Rattus norvegicus: one gene and its partners. The protein of the gene in region 1 interacts with the protein of each later gene in a pairwise test. Links are inferred from orthologs where the notes say so. Each region holds a gene or a part of one and is shown on either strand. Other genes may lie near its edges.

Region 1 (4,395 bases):
ATAAATGTCCTGTGGTCTTAATATAACCTAGACCTCCTAATGAAACAGAACCTAAAGCCATTTATACTCAGGTATGCAAAAAGACACCTGGAAATGTGCCGTCCAGTGAGCGACCAACGAGACCTCTCAGAGGACAAGAAAAAGTTGGAGGCAGAGCAGAAAAGAAATCTAAATGAGGAACTACTAGTCTAGGCAGAGATGCCTAACACCCCTCCAAGACAGCCTAAGGGGAGAAGGGTGGGACCAGAGAACAATGTAGCCTTGACTCTTAAAACAGAAGCCCAGACAAGCATTGTGAAAAGTGCCAGGCAGAGACAGGCATCCAAGAATTTGCACACTGAATGAATTACTCCACAGACACACAAAGAATTCTGAGTCTGCTTCCAATCATATTATCTAAGGCCCTTTAAGTCCAGGTCAAACATCTTTCTTTGTGCTGAAGCTCAGGCTAACACTCAGTGCTTATAAAGAGCTGAGTGCTCCCAGTGAGTGCTCCTAGACTAGCTCTGGCCAGGAAGCCTAGCACAGCCCCTCCCAAAGACCTCACCTACAATTTCTTACAGCAGACAGCATGACCCAAGGTAAAAGGGAGTTAAAGGGAACAGAGGCAAAGAAACCAGAAGGTAGGAAGTCAAGATCCGTGTCTATTCTACAGAAACCTAAGCGGCAAGGTAACAAGCTCTAGAAGAGAGCTTGAGTCTTGGATCTACCTAATGCAAATTAAATGTCTGTGTTTTTAATTAAATGCATGCAAACAGCGAAGAGGTCTTAGCAGCTCTCCAGCGACTTGACTACAAGACGTTCCACAATTCTCCACCTCAGCACTCCAGGTTTCCTCCACTACCTCAAGCCTCCATCTAGTTCCAGAATCATACGTGTGACGTATCGGCCTCAGAGAACAGAGCTGGTCATCTACTCAGTTTTTCCATTTAAACCATTTTCTATGCCTCCTTGCTCTAGGGCCTGTTTTCCCACACCCATTTTTTTTTTAAACCTTCATCGTAAGGTCCTCTTGTTCTCTCCAGTTCAGTCTGCTCCCAGAGGGGGAAAAAAGACTGCATTTAATCGACAGAAAAGTGGGGAGGGCAAGCTCACCATAAGTAACTTACTTACCCAGCCTATATCACACACAGCATGTCATCTATATGCAGAGTATCTTCTGCCATCAGTGTTCCTGAGGCTGGTCAGAAACCTCCTGTGTTGGCACTAGACTCAAGCTGCTGAAGCCCTCTACCAACATGTTTCCCAGGGGGCTCAGAAGGCTTTCCCAACCTTCTGGGGAGTGTGAGCAGACCACGCAGCCTCAAAGCTGCCACCATCTGCAAGCTTTTTCTATCGTTTCTATCTGCCCAGAAGGGGCAAGCCAAGACTCACCCACTCTTCAGGTCCCCACGACCTGTTCCACTCAAGCTCAAAATCCTGTCATGCACATACAGAAACTGTGGTTCTATCATTCCATTCGATCTCATAAGAGGACTCAAAATACAAAATACAGAGAAAAGAAATGTTCAGTCCAAACCAAATATCCTTATTTTAGCTGTAATCCTGCCAAAGAAGCCACAAGAGGCTGGGTGAGGAGCAACGGTGATAGAGTGAACCTAGCTAGCCAAATCTCATTGAAAACCGATAAGGTTCTATGAATCAGATCGGATGAAAAGGTTCACCCTTTTGGGGGGAGAGGTTTGTCTGCGGTTTAAAAAGTCAGATCCAAAGGGCTCTTTACTCCTTCATAGAGGTTAAACTCGTGAAGGTGGCGTGGGGGGAAGGGGAAGCACCAAACGTTCAAACTCCTGAAGATTTACAGGCCACTTAAAAAAAAAAATTCAAACCTTGTACCGAATAACATCTTCCACATGATTTCTTAAGCTCTTGTTTCTAGAAAGTAATTTTGTTGCAGGTGATCTTGAATGCACTTGGGCACCAAGGAAAAAAGACACCTGTGCCTAACAGGTCGGTAACACTACCAACGTGCCCCGGGTACCAAGGGAACGAGAGATGCTCTGATTTCTGGATAAAAGATTTTCTGCAGTGCCAGGTAGGCGATCACATGCCCTAAAACGGCCGCAGCTCATTTGGAGTGATGTAAAAGCTCCTTGGATATTAATTTTATTAGAAATTCCAAGAAGCAAGCAACCTCAGATTGCATTCATTTTAGACTCCAGGCGTCTGGTACTTTCCAGTTTCCTGTGCATCCTCTCGCTCCCCCACTAGAAAGGGGTAGGCGAGATGGGCAGCAGCAGCCCGTGCATTAGGGGGGTCGGGGGGATACCGACAGGGCGATCGTAGCCCACCCACCCCCTCCCCGCACACACACCCGCCATGCCCCACGCACAGCTCCATCCCGAACGTTCAATTCGCCCCGGGACTGAGAAGCCCCTACCCACGCCTGGCCGGCTAGGCAGAGTCCGGTCCCGCGGTCGCCCTCCGGACTGCGGGCGCCGCGCCCCGTCACGCCCCGCGCCTCCCCTCGCCCGCCGCCCCCCGCGATCGCAGCGTGTCCTCCGCAGCGCCGCGCGCCCTCCGCAGCCGTACAGCCCTCCGCCGCGCGCCCGGGCGCCCGCTCACTCACGCGGGAGGCAGCGGCGGCGACTCCATTGTGGCTCCTCGCGGGCTTCAGAACGCAGGCACCGACCGCCGCCGCCAGCACCATACCAGCCGCGGACGCCGGCACTGTCCGCCCGCCCAGCCGTGTTCCATCCGCCCCGAGGGGGCGCAGCGCTCCTCACCGCGCGCCACCACCTGCGGCGGCGGCCCCCGCGGCCATGGCCCGTCGGCCCCGCGCGCTCGTGTGCCTGGCGCGGCTCCCGCGCTCCCCCGAGTGCAGGGCGACGGCGGCGGCGGCGGGACGGGCGGGCGAGCGAGCGGTCGAGCGCGCAGCTCGGCCACTTCCGGGTTCTCCCGGCCAGCGCCGGCGCCGTGACGGGCGGGCGCTGCGGCCTCCCGCGGCGGAGGGACCCCTCCCTCGGCGCCGCCCCTTCCTCCGCGGCGTCTGGAGGAGGCGGCCGGCGGGCGGGCGAGCGAGCGCGCGGGCGGGGGGGACCCGGGACCGAGGCTCGGAGATAGGAGGCGGGGAGGGCTCGCGCGGAAGGGGTGCTCGCCTATGCGCGGCTTGCTCTGATTCACCGGTGTATTCACATCCTTCTCTTGGCGTCGGAGTGCCTTCACCACCCCCGGGGGAGTGGGGATTGGGGGAAAGGGAGGGCAGACCAAGTGTTGCCCTTCCAAAGGAGGAAACCGAGGCAAGAAGAGATAGATCGGCCTGACCAAGGTCCCAAGCCCGAAGCTAGCGGGCGTCTTTTCTGGGTCCTAATCTGGTCTGTGGACAACTGAGATGAGCATCTGCTAGACTGAGCTTGGGGACGTGACTGAGCAGACGTGGGTCGCTGAGCCTAGCAAGCTGCCCTTCTGAACGTGATAAGAGAGACAATGAGCCCAGGATGCCCACTGGGAAGATGAATAAATTTCAGTGAGATGGGGTGTGCTATATGATGAGGAATGGTCAGGAAGGCCTCTTGGGTATCAGTTAAACGAAGATGAATTAACATGAACCTTCACTAACTCAAGATGGGTGAATGCCCAGGGCTAAGGCAAAAATCGGTGAAGATTCCTGTCAGCAAGACGCCTTGTCATGTTTGAGACTAGGCAGGAGGGTTCCGAATTCTGGACCAATGCCTGTTAGAGGAAGGAACACCTGGGAATTTATAGAGATGGGAATTCTCCAGTTCCATCCCAAACTTACTGTCTGGGGAGCAGGCTGGGGATAGAGCCGGGATTCCTGGCTTAAGGAGTCCTCCAGCTGGTGCTGGTGCCCACTGAGGCCTGAGACTCCCTGTGTAGCTGAGGCAGTGTGAGACCATTACTGGCCAAATGGATCCTGTGAGCTGTATAAGTGATACACTGGGGAGGGAAGGGAGCAGTCAAGATTAGCCTAGCCAGAACGAAAAAGAAAGATGGCTGCACTGGAGTCAGGGGCGTTGAAGGAAGTGGTCAGATTCTAGATGATAAAATGCCCAGTAAGAATTCCTGATGGATTAGGCTTCAGAAAAAGTAGCGTCCGGAATGAACTTCAATTTGGAGGTTGACCCACGTAGATGGTATGCATGTACAGTCATGAGACTAGTTGACATAAGCTCTGCAATGTAGTTACGGAGAGGAAGACCAAGACATGATCCCGGGGCACTCCAACATGAAGAAACTAAAACTAAAAGGAGGGTGAGATGCATCTTAGGGATAGAGCGCTTGCCTGGGGGAGTGCAAGGTCCCATTCCTCGCACTGCCAATAAGTACAAAAATAAAATAGTACCAAGAGGGGTGGAGTGTGCCCATAATCCCAGCACTCTGGAAGCCAAGAAAGGATACTCACTGGTGGCCTGTTTTAATAAAAGAAAATAATGC
Region 2 (4,221 bases), on another chromosome or scaffold:
CACTTAATAAATGGTCACCGGGGAAGACCAGAGCTGACTAAATGGCCTGACCAAGATTAAAATCTAGGCCTAGTAATTCCAGTCTAGTGCACACCATTCCACACCAACATGCTTCCTCTTCATAATGAGAACTGTTGGGAGAGGGTAGGAAGGGGGTTATTCCTTGTCTCCTCTCTGCAAACACCCAAGGTGTCTTCTGGAAAGAGCTGGAGCTATTTAGACATCTTGGAAGAAACGACACTCATCAAAAATTTCAGGAATTCCTGCCTCAGGTAGCACTTTTTACTTTTTTTTAGGCAGGGTTAGTATATTTCTTATGTCCAAAGAATCTATACATAAGCAATACATAAAACAAACACTTTAAATGGCATTAATTCCTTTAGTTTTCAAGTGTGTGGCATGGTATTCTGTCTTTTGCTTTTTCTTTCAATTATCACAAACTAGCTCTCCCACTTGAGTTCCCTGGAACTCACCAAGATCCACTCACCTGCTTCTACCTCAAGTCCTGGGATTGAAGGCTTCGATATATTTGGGAGTTGTTTATTAGGCAATGATGCTAACTGAACAACACAGAACTTACTGTCTGACAAAGAACGGATACTCAAAAAACATTTCATAATGTTATATACACTCAACACAGTCAATTGAGCAGGGCACGCTACATGTCGAGTGTCTGAGGTAACAATCACACCCATTTTGCAGCTGAGGAACTGAGGCTGTGAGAGATTAAGCTGCTTGTCACAGGCATCTCATTTGGACATTGGCAGAAAACATTGAAACTCAGCTCCGCATACATCCTAGCACTCCAGTCTCCCTCTGTGCTCACAATTTTATTCCAAGTACAGAGCAGCCTGTTTTACAAAAGAATCACCAGTATTTGAAACATTTGACCCACTGTGCAGTTTTTAGCACTTCCTTCATAGGTAAAAACCCACAGATCATCTTAGAAAAACTTTTCCTCAAAAAAGAGAAAGAAAGATAAGCTTTTTTCACCTTCCTAATTCAGGTAAATGCCAGCTCCCTTACCCTCTTCAGCCTTTTTACTTCCCAGTCTTTTAATCTGTCATGAACCTGGGTGTAAATATACACCCAATGAAAGCAAGAACCTTGTCTGTTCTCTTCACTGCCATTTCTCTAGTACTCGAGCCAGTGATCAAACCATGGTTGATGATCAGAAATCAATCCTGAACAGAGGTGACTCCATTTAGGTCCACTGACTTTCCACTCAGTCTCATTGGCCACCAATGAATATAAAATTAAAGAGCATTAAAAACAAACAAACAAACAAACAAACAAACAAACAAACAGGGGCTGGAGAGATGGATCAGAGGTTAAGGGGACCTGTTGCTCTTCAGGGGATTCAAGTTCAGTTGCCATGTTAGGCAGCCCACAACTGCCTGTAACTCCAGCTCCAAGGGGACTGACACCCTCCTTCTGACCTACTCGGGCCACACATTTACTTACACACACACACACACACACACACACACACACACACACGCACACACACACAAAATAAACCTTTAAAAAATCATGATTGGGCCTAGAGATGTTTCAGAAGATAAGAATAGTTGTGAAAACAACTTTAGTAACCATATAAACGCCTGGCACGACAGCTCATGCATGTAACCCCTAACATTAGGGATAGGATCCCATGAGTTCACCGGCCAGCTCCTCTAGCCTAAACGGTGAACTCAAATTGAATGGACTGTTTCATAAGGTGGAGAACAAGCAGAAGAGGAAAACACCCAACATCCTCTTCTGGCCTAGTCATGTGTGTCGTGCACCACAAAACGCATCGGCAGATACCACCACCAACAGCAGAATCCCACACAGTAAGGTCAGAACACAAAATAATCAAAGCAGGCTTGGAATCCATTTACAACTCACCCAGTTAGTCAATTCAGCTGCCTCCCCCGCCCAAAAAAGGACTGATGATGAGAAGGGGTTCAAGTAGGCAATACACGGATTTGGGGGTTCATACTTGCTAACCTTCATTCATAACCACTGATCCATCGCTCTAAAGAAATCAGTTTCTTCCAACACACTAGCTGAGCCACACAGAGAACAACTGTTGGTAACCTAGCAAAAGATCTACCCTTCATTTGGCTCTTTCTTTTGCATCTCTTAGAGAATCGGGAACCGGGTCTTGTGGGGTAGGGAGAATGTGGTGAGGAATCTTCAGACTCCAGCGACTATGTGATACACAGGTCACCAGAGACCCTTTTTCTTCTAGCGGAAAGGTGACGGTTCCTGAGGGCTTCCCAAGCGACCTTACTTCTGGCGGGAAGGTGACGGTTCTTGTAGGCGTCCCAAGCGCCTAACATGACACATGAATGGACTCCTAAACAGCCTAGTTCTAATTTAAGGGCCATATCTTCCCAAACCCAAGAATTAAGAGCGCCCTCAAGTTCAACTTCCTTCTCTTAAACCCTCTCCGGGACCTGGTACTCCCGACCCCAAGAAATCTCCCAAAAGCAGTTGGGGAAGATAAAAAGGAATCTGAAGTGGCCTAAGATACAGCGAGAGCAAAAAGTGTTAGGACAAGAGGAGGCCCGGGGTCCGTAAAGATTACAATAAGAACGAGGTCTGACCCTTTCCAAGCCCAGTGCGTCCGTCTGAAGAAGTGATGAGGAGCAGGAAACTGAAGCTCAGCAAACAGGTGGCCCCGAAACGAAGCGACATCTCCACTGGGGTAGTTGCACAGAGCCACCGGATTGCGGGAACACAGGATTTCCAGGAGAAGCTCCCCTGTGCCCTCTTATCGCCGCTCAGCCCAACCCCTCGGATTCCCAGATTTTTTTCCTCTCCAAACACCGAAGGAAGTGATGTTAGACGGATGTGGGCGGTGCCTCGAGGGTCCGCTTTGGAATGGAGTAAGTTTAAAGGTGCAGATCACGTAGAAGGATGGAGGAGTACATCTCGAGTTTGCTTTCCCTAAATCCTGGATATCCAGGCCTAGGGACACAGCCGGATGAGGTGGGCCGAAGTGGTGGGGGCTGGGGAAAGGTTCGGGAAAACCGTTGTTAATTACGTCTGACCTCCACCCTAGCCCCTCCCTCCAGTGGACCACTACACTAAATATTCAAAATGCAAATTATTTATCTGTGATATTAGCCTATCACAACAAAGGACTTGGAACTTCCCGCCCCCTTGCATAAAGTAAAAATACTGGACAACAGCACTTCATTGTTAGATTTCTTCTGTTTGGGATTCCGAAGAGACCCGGTAAGCCCGTTTTGCTGTGCACGCGTCTGTCCATGTCTTGCAGGCGTGCACTTTGGAGGAGCGCTGGACCCTTTACTATCCCTCGCATCCGCACGACTTCCACTCAGGCATGATGCAACCAACTGACATAAGCTCCAAAGAAACCATGTTTGGGGCCTCTTACTGCACAACTGACGAGGAAGTCCGAGGGAACTGGGACATAAGTCACTGCAAGCACGTAAAGGGCAAAGCTTCTTTCCGTTAAATCTGTTGCTTTTGGTCTTGGGTCGAGTTACTCCCTAACAAGTCAACATTCCCGACTTTAACCTTCTGATACTAGTGGAGTCCATTAGTGAAGGACATCCAAAGTAGACACCCAAACTACATCCCACCCGGCCCTTCGGTTGAGTACGAGACAAAAGGTATCACAGACACAATGGGACGCTGAGGTGTCCGCCACCTCCTCCAGGAAGCAGCGCGGCCCCCTCACCGGCCGCCAATCAGAATATTGGGGTGCGCGAGGCAGTCTGGGCTTTGTAGTTGGGAGGCGCGCGGTTACGGTACCCACCCTCTCCCCTCCTCCCGCGGTCGAGGCGGGGCCGTGCGTCACGTGGGCCTCTCCCGCCGCCGCCGCCGCTGCCGCCGCGGTCTTTCTCTGTCTCAGCTGAGGCAGCCATCTTGCTCTTGCCGCGTGCTGGTGTTAGAGGACCCTCCCCGCTGCAGGTGAGACCCCCGGCGGGCCCGCCACCCCACGGCCTCCGGCCGCTGCGCACGGTCTCCCCCCGCCCTCCCCTCTCGACACCCGCCGTCCGCTCCGGCTGCCACTTCCGCCGTGGCGCGGCGAGTGGGGGCGGAGGCGGCCGGCCGGGCCTGTCGGTTACGGGCGGCGCAGCTGGGGGTCGGCACCTGAGGGATGGTCCCCAGCACCACCGCCCGCTGTGGAGGAACCGGGCCGGGGCTCTGGCCGCTCAGATCCAGATCCTGGAGGGTAGAACCCTCCTCGTCCTATCACTC
Region 3 (4,259 bases), on another chromosome or scaffold:
TTTTTATATTAATTTTTGTTATATGTGTGTGTGTGTGTGTGTGTGTGTGTGTGTGTGTGTGTCCATGAATTCGGATACCCGTGGAGTCCAGAAAAGGGCATCAAATCCCTCAGAGGTAGGGCCACAGGCAACCGTGAACATAGGAGTGTTGAGCTCAGGTCCTCAGGAAAAGAACCAAGGGTTATTAAGTGTGGCCCATCTTTCCAATCCCTTGGCCTTCTCCTTGATTTTTATATTGCATTTTATACCTCAGTGGGGTTTGACTTCATAGACCCTGAACTACCCTCATGGTTGTCTGGGATTCCAGGCCTGAGAGGCTGTCGTTTCTCTCAACCCTCTGGGCCCATCCATGTCCTCTCTCCTGAGTCCAGCGTTCACCTTCTGTTCCCGTGTCTCCTCTGTCTCTCTCTCTCTCTCTCCTTGCCCTGTCTCTCTCATTTCCTCTCCTTCCCCGTTGTCTCTGGTGGCCCTCACTCCAGCACTGTGTCCTAAGGGGAAACCACTGCTCCCATCTGCCCTGCTCAGACACCTGGCACCTTGCAGAGGCCAAAGCCTTCCTAGGTCTCAGCCTCCTCATTGGTGAAGTAAAAAGGCACCTTCCGATGGCTCCGTGCAAGGTCTTCTGAGCAATCAGTGTAGGCAGAGCTAATGGCTGCTAAGGTGACCAGGCTACTGGACCCTCCTTCCCCACTCCTCCCCTCCTCTCCTCCCCTCCTCACACCCTCCCAGCCCTGGCCTCCAGCATAGAGCACTCACAAGCAACCACTCCAGCACGTAATTCTCAGGATGCTCCCGTGGTGTGCAGTCCAGGGCAATTTGCTCCCCTCGCATCACCTCCACCCGTGGGGGAACGGACACGTGCAGCTCAGCCTGGGCACCTGCAGATGGGTGCAGCATCGAATGTCCACCCACTGCCATCAAAAGGGATGGCCCTCCAGGCCCCAGCCTCCTCCATCAGATAGGAGTCTAGGCTCTAGCCTCCTCCCTCAGACACAGATCCTCTCTCCGTCCTTGGTCCCCTCTGAGCCTGAGTCCTGTCAGTGTCTTTCCAACTCTTCTTTTTAGAAACAGGGTCTTACCCCATAGCCTTGGCTGCCTGGAATCCTTCGGGCTATGTGAACCAGGCTGGCCTCGAACTCACAGAGATCTACAGCTGCCTCAGCCTCCCTCCTGAGTGCTGGGATTAAAGTCCTGTGCCATTGGCCCAGTCTCTCTGACTTGTAAGGCTTAAAGTAAAGCTTTCTCCAGCATTCCAAACTAAAATCTGGCTTCTTTTCTAGCAAATGTCCCCTCAAGGAAGGGCCAGGCCTGGCTCTCCCCTTGGCCTCCAGCGCACAGAGCAAGACTTGGCCTGGGGCTAAATAACAAACAGGTCTTTCTCCATCTCAGTCCCATCCTATCTCTTGATCCCATCCTATCTTCTCCGGTAGCTCCTAGGGGCCCTCTGCTCTCTCCTGTGTGGGGGGCTGGGGTGTGGGCTGCAGCTGGGCCAGAAGCTGGATGGGTGTGTGGGAGTGGCAAGGGGGGACAGGGCTGGGCAGGTTTCAGGAATGTGGGAGGGCCAGGCTGGCTGAGACCTGCCCGGCTTGGCGCCAGAGCCCCCTACCCGCCCCTTGACAACCCCCCCCCCCCCATCTCTATACCAGAGAAGCTTGAAAAGGGTGAGGTGAGTCACCTGGGCAGAGGGGCGAGGCTGGGTCCTGAGGGAGAAAGGGCCGGAAGCTTAGACTCCTAGATGCCTGCAGCAGAGCAGGCTGGATGTGGGAAACAAGGACCTCTGAGTCCTAGGGACCTGGGAACTTGGGTCTGGGTTTCCTGTCAGGGTCTGGCGAGTAGCATGGTTCTTGCTGAGAATCTACCCTCTGGGCTGACACCATTCTTTTTCTGCTCAGCCTGGCACAGGCTACTCGTAGGTTTCCACTATATACCACGTTTGTGCCAGGAGCCTGGTTTCTCAGGCACCCACCTCTGGCCCCAGCCTGTCCCTGGGGAGCTGATGTGGGGCCAGGCTGGTGCCCCGGACTGGATGTGAGCAGCAAGCAGCAAGGCAGACAGAGATCCTGTCTTCCTTGATCTCTCTTCGCCTTGTCCACAGTGTCCCTCAGTCCCCGTTTCTCCTCTCCTTTCACCACATGCAGGTGTGTGGATTTATCAGGGGCCCAAGGAAAGGGGCCCTGTCAGTCGGAAACACTTTTCCACGTTCTCTGCCAGGCTCTCTTCTCCCGGCCCTTTCAGAGAGAGGCGGGTCCTTTAGAGACAGCCTAAACTCTGAATTTTGGGGAAACCCCAATATTCTAGAAAGTGCTCTAGCCACAGGGTCCCCAGTTTCTCCGAGGAAACTCTGAGCTTAATCATTTAGAGACAGCTCTGGGATGTTAATCTTCGGTATCTTAGCAGAACCTACTTTGATTATGGGGGAGGGCAGGGGCTGGACTCTAGTCTAAAGGACTAGGGACACAGATCCCAGATTCCAGGTACCCAAGGTTATTAGGGGTCGTAGGGCTTAGATTCCAGGATTCCCGAAGGGCTGGGAAGGGAGCGCTATCTCAGGTTGTGTTTGCTCCAGAGCTGGGTTATCCTTAGCATTCAGATCCGATACACCCCAAGGCCTCCCCGCCTTCCTCCCTACTGGGGAATCCCTAGATTGTGCTCCCTGGGGAAATGGAAGCTTGTTCCCCTTGTCTTCTCCGGGACTCCAGGGGCCTGCCCCACAAGCCCCAACCTCAAGTTCCAGCTCTGCCCTCAGCCGCAAGTCATACCTGAGTAGCCCGACAGCAGGAGGGTGAGCCACAGTAGCCCTGCGCGGGCGTCAGGGGGTTCCATATTCCCTGCAGTGGCGGCAGTGACTGAGCCCGGGCGAGGCTCTCCGCCGCCCTGAAGCTGGCAGCGGAGGCCAGGCCCCTGACCACGCCCCTGACCACGCCCACCCCCATCTCCAAGCTGGGCGCAGGGCCAAGACCTCCCACTGCCCTGAGAGGACCTCCCACCCTCGCGCGCGGGGACCCGCCAGCAGCGGCGCGCGCTCTGCTCCATCCAACCCATGCCCGCGGCTGTCCTCCGCAGCCATGGGGACCGCCCGATCAGTCTAGTTAGTGCCCCGAGCTGGGATCTAAAAGACACCGCGCGGAGACCCTCGGTCCCTTCCTTCCTGGCCACCTGCGGGACTTTGACACGCATTCCCAAGGTGGCTTGCGGCCCTCGGCTGCAGGTGGATCTTTTCCCTAGTTTGTTTTCTTTTTGGAGACGGGTGTCACACTGTAGCACAGGCTGGCCTGGAGCTCACCGCAAGCCTCCGTCGGGTCTCAGTTTCCCAAGGACTGGGATTACAAGGGTGAACCATCACCCTGGTTTGTGAACTGTCGGCTTTGATCAACAGTCCCTGATATGATTAGTTGCCTGTGCTAGCCTCTCTTTGTAGTTTCTCCTGCATGACCGGCTCTTCTCTGAGTGCCCTAGGATGCCCTCCCCTTGGAGCCAGCCACCTTGCTGGGAAGTGCCCCTCCTCTGACGGAGCAGTGGCTTGGAACTGGTCAGGTCATTCTTTTCTCTAATGAGTTTTCAACTCCCAGTCCTGGTAAAGCTCTTTGGTGATGAGGTGGGGATGGGGTGCCCCTCCCTCTGCTCTGCTCTCCTTGACTCCCTCACTTCCCCCCATCCAGGGAATCCAAGGAATGTCACCCCCCTTCCGCCTTCCTTCCCTCCCCGCCATTCCTTCCCCACCTTGGGGGGAGGGGAGGAGAAGTGGGCTGGTGTGGTGGCAGGTGAGTGGTGGAAGGAAAGAGAAGAGCCGGCCACTGGGGCCGCTGGATGGAAGAGAGGGTCACAGGTCAAAGTAAAGGGTCACAGATCAGTCTACTCCAGGATCCTCACACAGCCGAGGCAGTGTGGAACGAAATCCCAAGAATGTTGGATGGGGGCTGGAGAAGGACGGTTCTGCCTCTGTTCAGCGGGTAGAAACTAGCCTGGGATACGGGTATGGATGAGGGGGTGGTATCACTGTGGGTCAGGCTGAGAGAGGTCTCCCTCCCGTTTCTGACCAGTCTGAGGGTGACCAGCGGTGAGCTTCCCCTCCCCGGGAGCCAAGGTTTTACCCATCAGCCTCTGAGGAAAGGCTTGTGTTGTAGGTATTGACTGGGCTCTCAAAGCTGCTTTAGCATTCCCTGACACAGGAAGTAATTGTGAAACCAGGAAACTCGACCTTTGCACGGGGCTCCTTCATCCCCTCTTCAGGAAGTCTTTCTTCAACCCTCTCCTGTCAC

Evidence for each region.
Region 2: the proteins of Klhl2 (region 1) and Txndc12 interact in binary tests that used the Homo sapiens proteins (3 or more experiments, as listed by UniProt). The two-hybrid records come from large-scale screens. The link is inferred for Rattus norvegicus from reciprocal best matches to the Homo sapiens genes KLHL2 and TXNDC12.
Region 3: the proteins of Klhl2 (region 1) and Bcam interact in binary tests that used the Homo sapiens proteins (3 or more experiments, as listed by UniProt). The two-hybrid records come from large-scale screens. The link is inferred for Rattus norvegicus from reciprocal best matches to the Homo sapiens genes KLHL2 and BCAM.

Annotation. Positions count from the first base shown.
Region 1 is NC_086034.1:29,625,732-29,630,126, reverse strand, and holds the start of Klhl2 (kelch-like protein 2), read right to left. Parts: upstream 2,891-4,395; 5' UTR 2,596-2,890; coding exon 2,570-2,595; intron 1-2,569. UniProt on the Homo sapiens protein: Substrate-specific adapter of a BCR (BTB-CUL3-RBX1) E3 ubiquitin ligase complex that mediates the ubiquitination of target proteins, such as NPTXR, WNK1, WNK3 and WNK4, leading most often to their proteasomal degradation.
Region 2 is NC_086023.1:128,815,157-128,819,377, reverse strand, and holds the start of Txndc12 (thioredoxin domain-containing protein 12 precursor), read right to left. Parts: upstream 2,833-4,221; 5' UTR 2,686-2,832; coding exon 2,595-2,685; intron 1-2,594. UniProt on the Homo sapiens protein: Protein-disulfide reductase of the endoplasmic reticulum that promotes disulfide bond formation in client proteins through its thiol-disulfide oxidase activity.
Region 3 is NC_086019.1:88,554,527-88,558,785, forward strand, and holds the start of Bcam (basal cell adhesion molecule precursor), read right to left. Parts: upstream 2,833-4,259; 5' UTR 2,824-2,832; coding exon 2,760-2,823; intron 879-2,759; coding exon 757-878; intron 1-756. UniProt on the Homo sapiens protein: Transmembrane glycoprotein that functions as both a receptor and an adhesion molecule playing a crucial role in cell adhesion, motility, migration and invasion.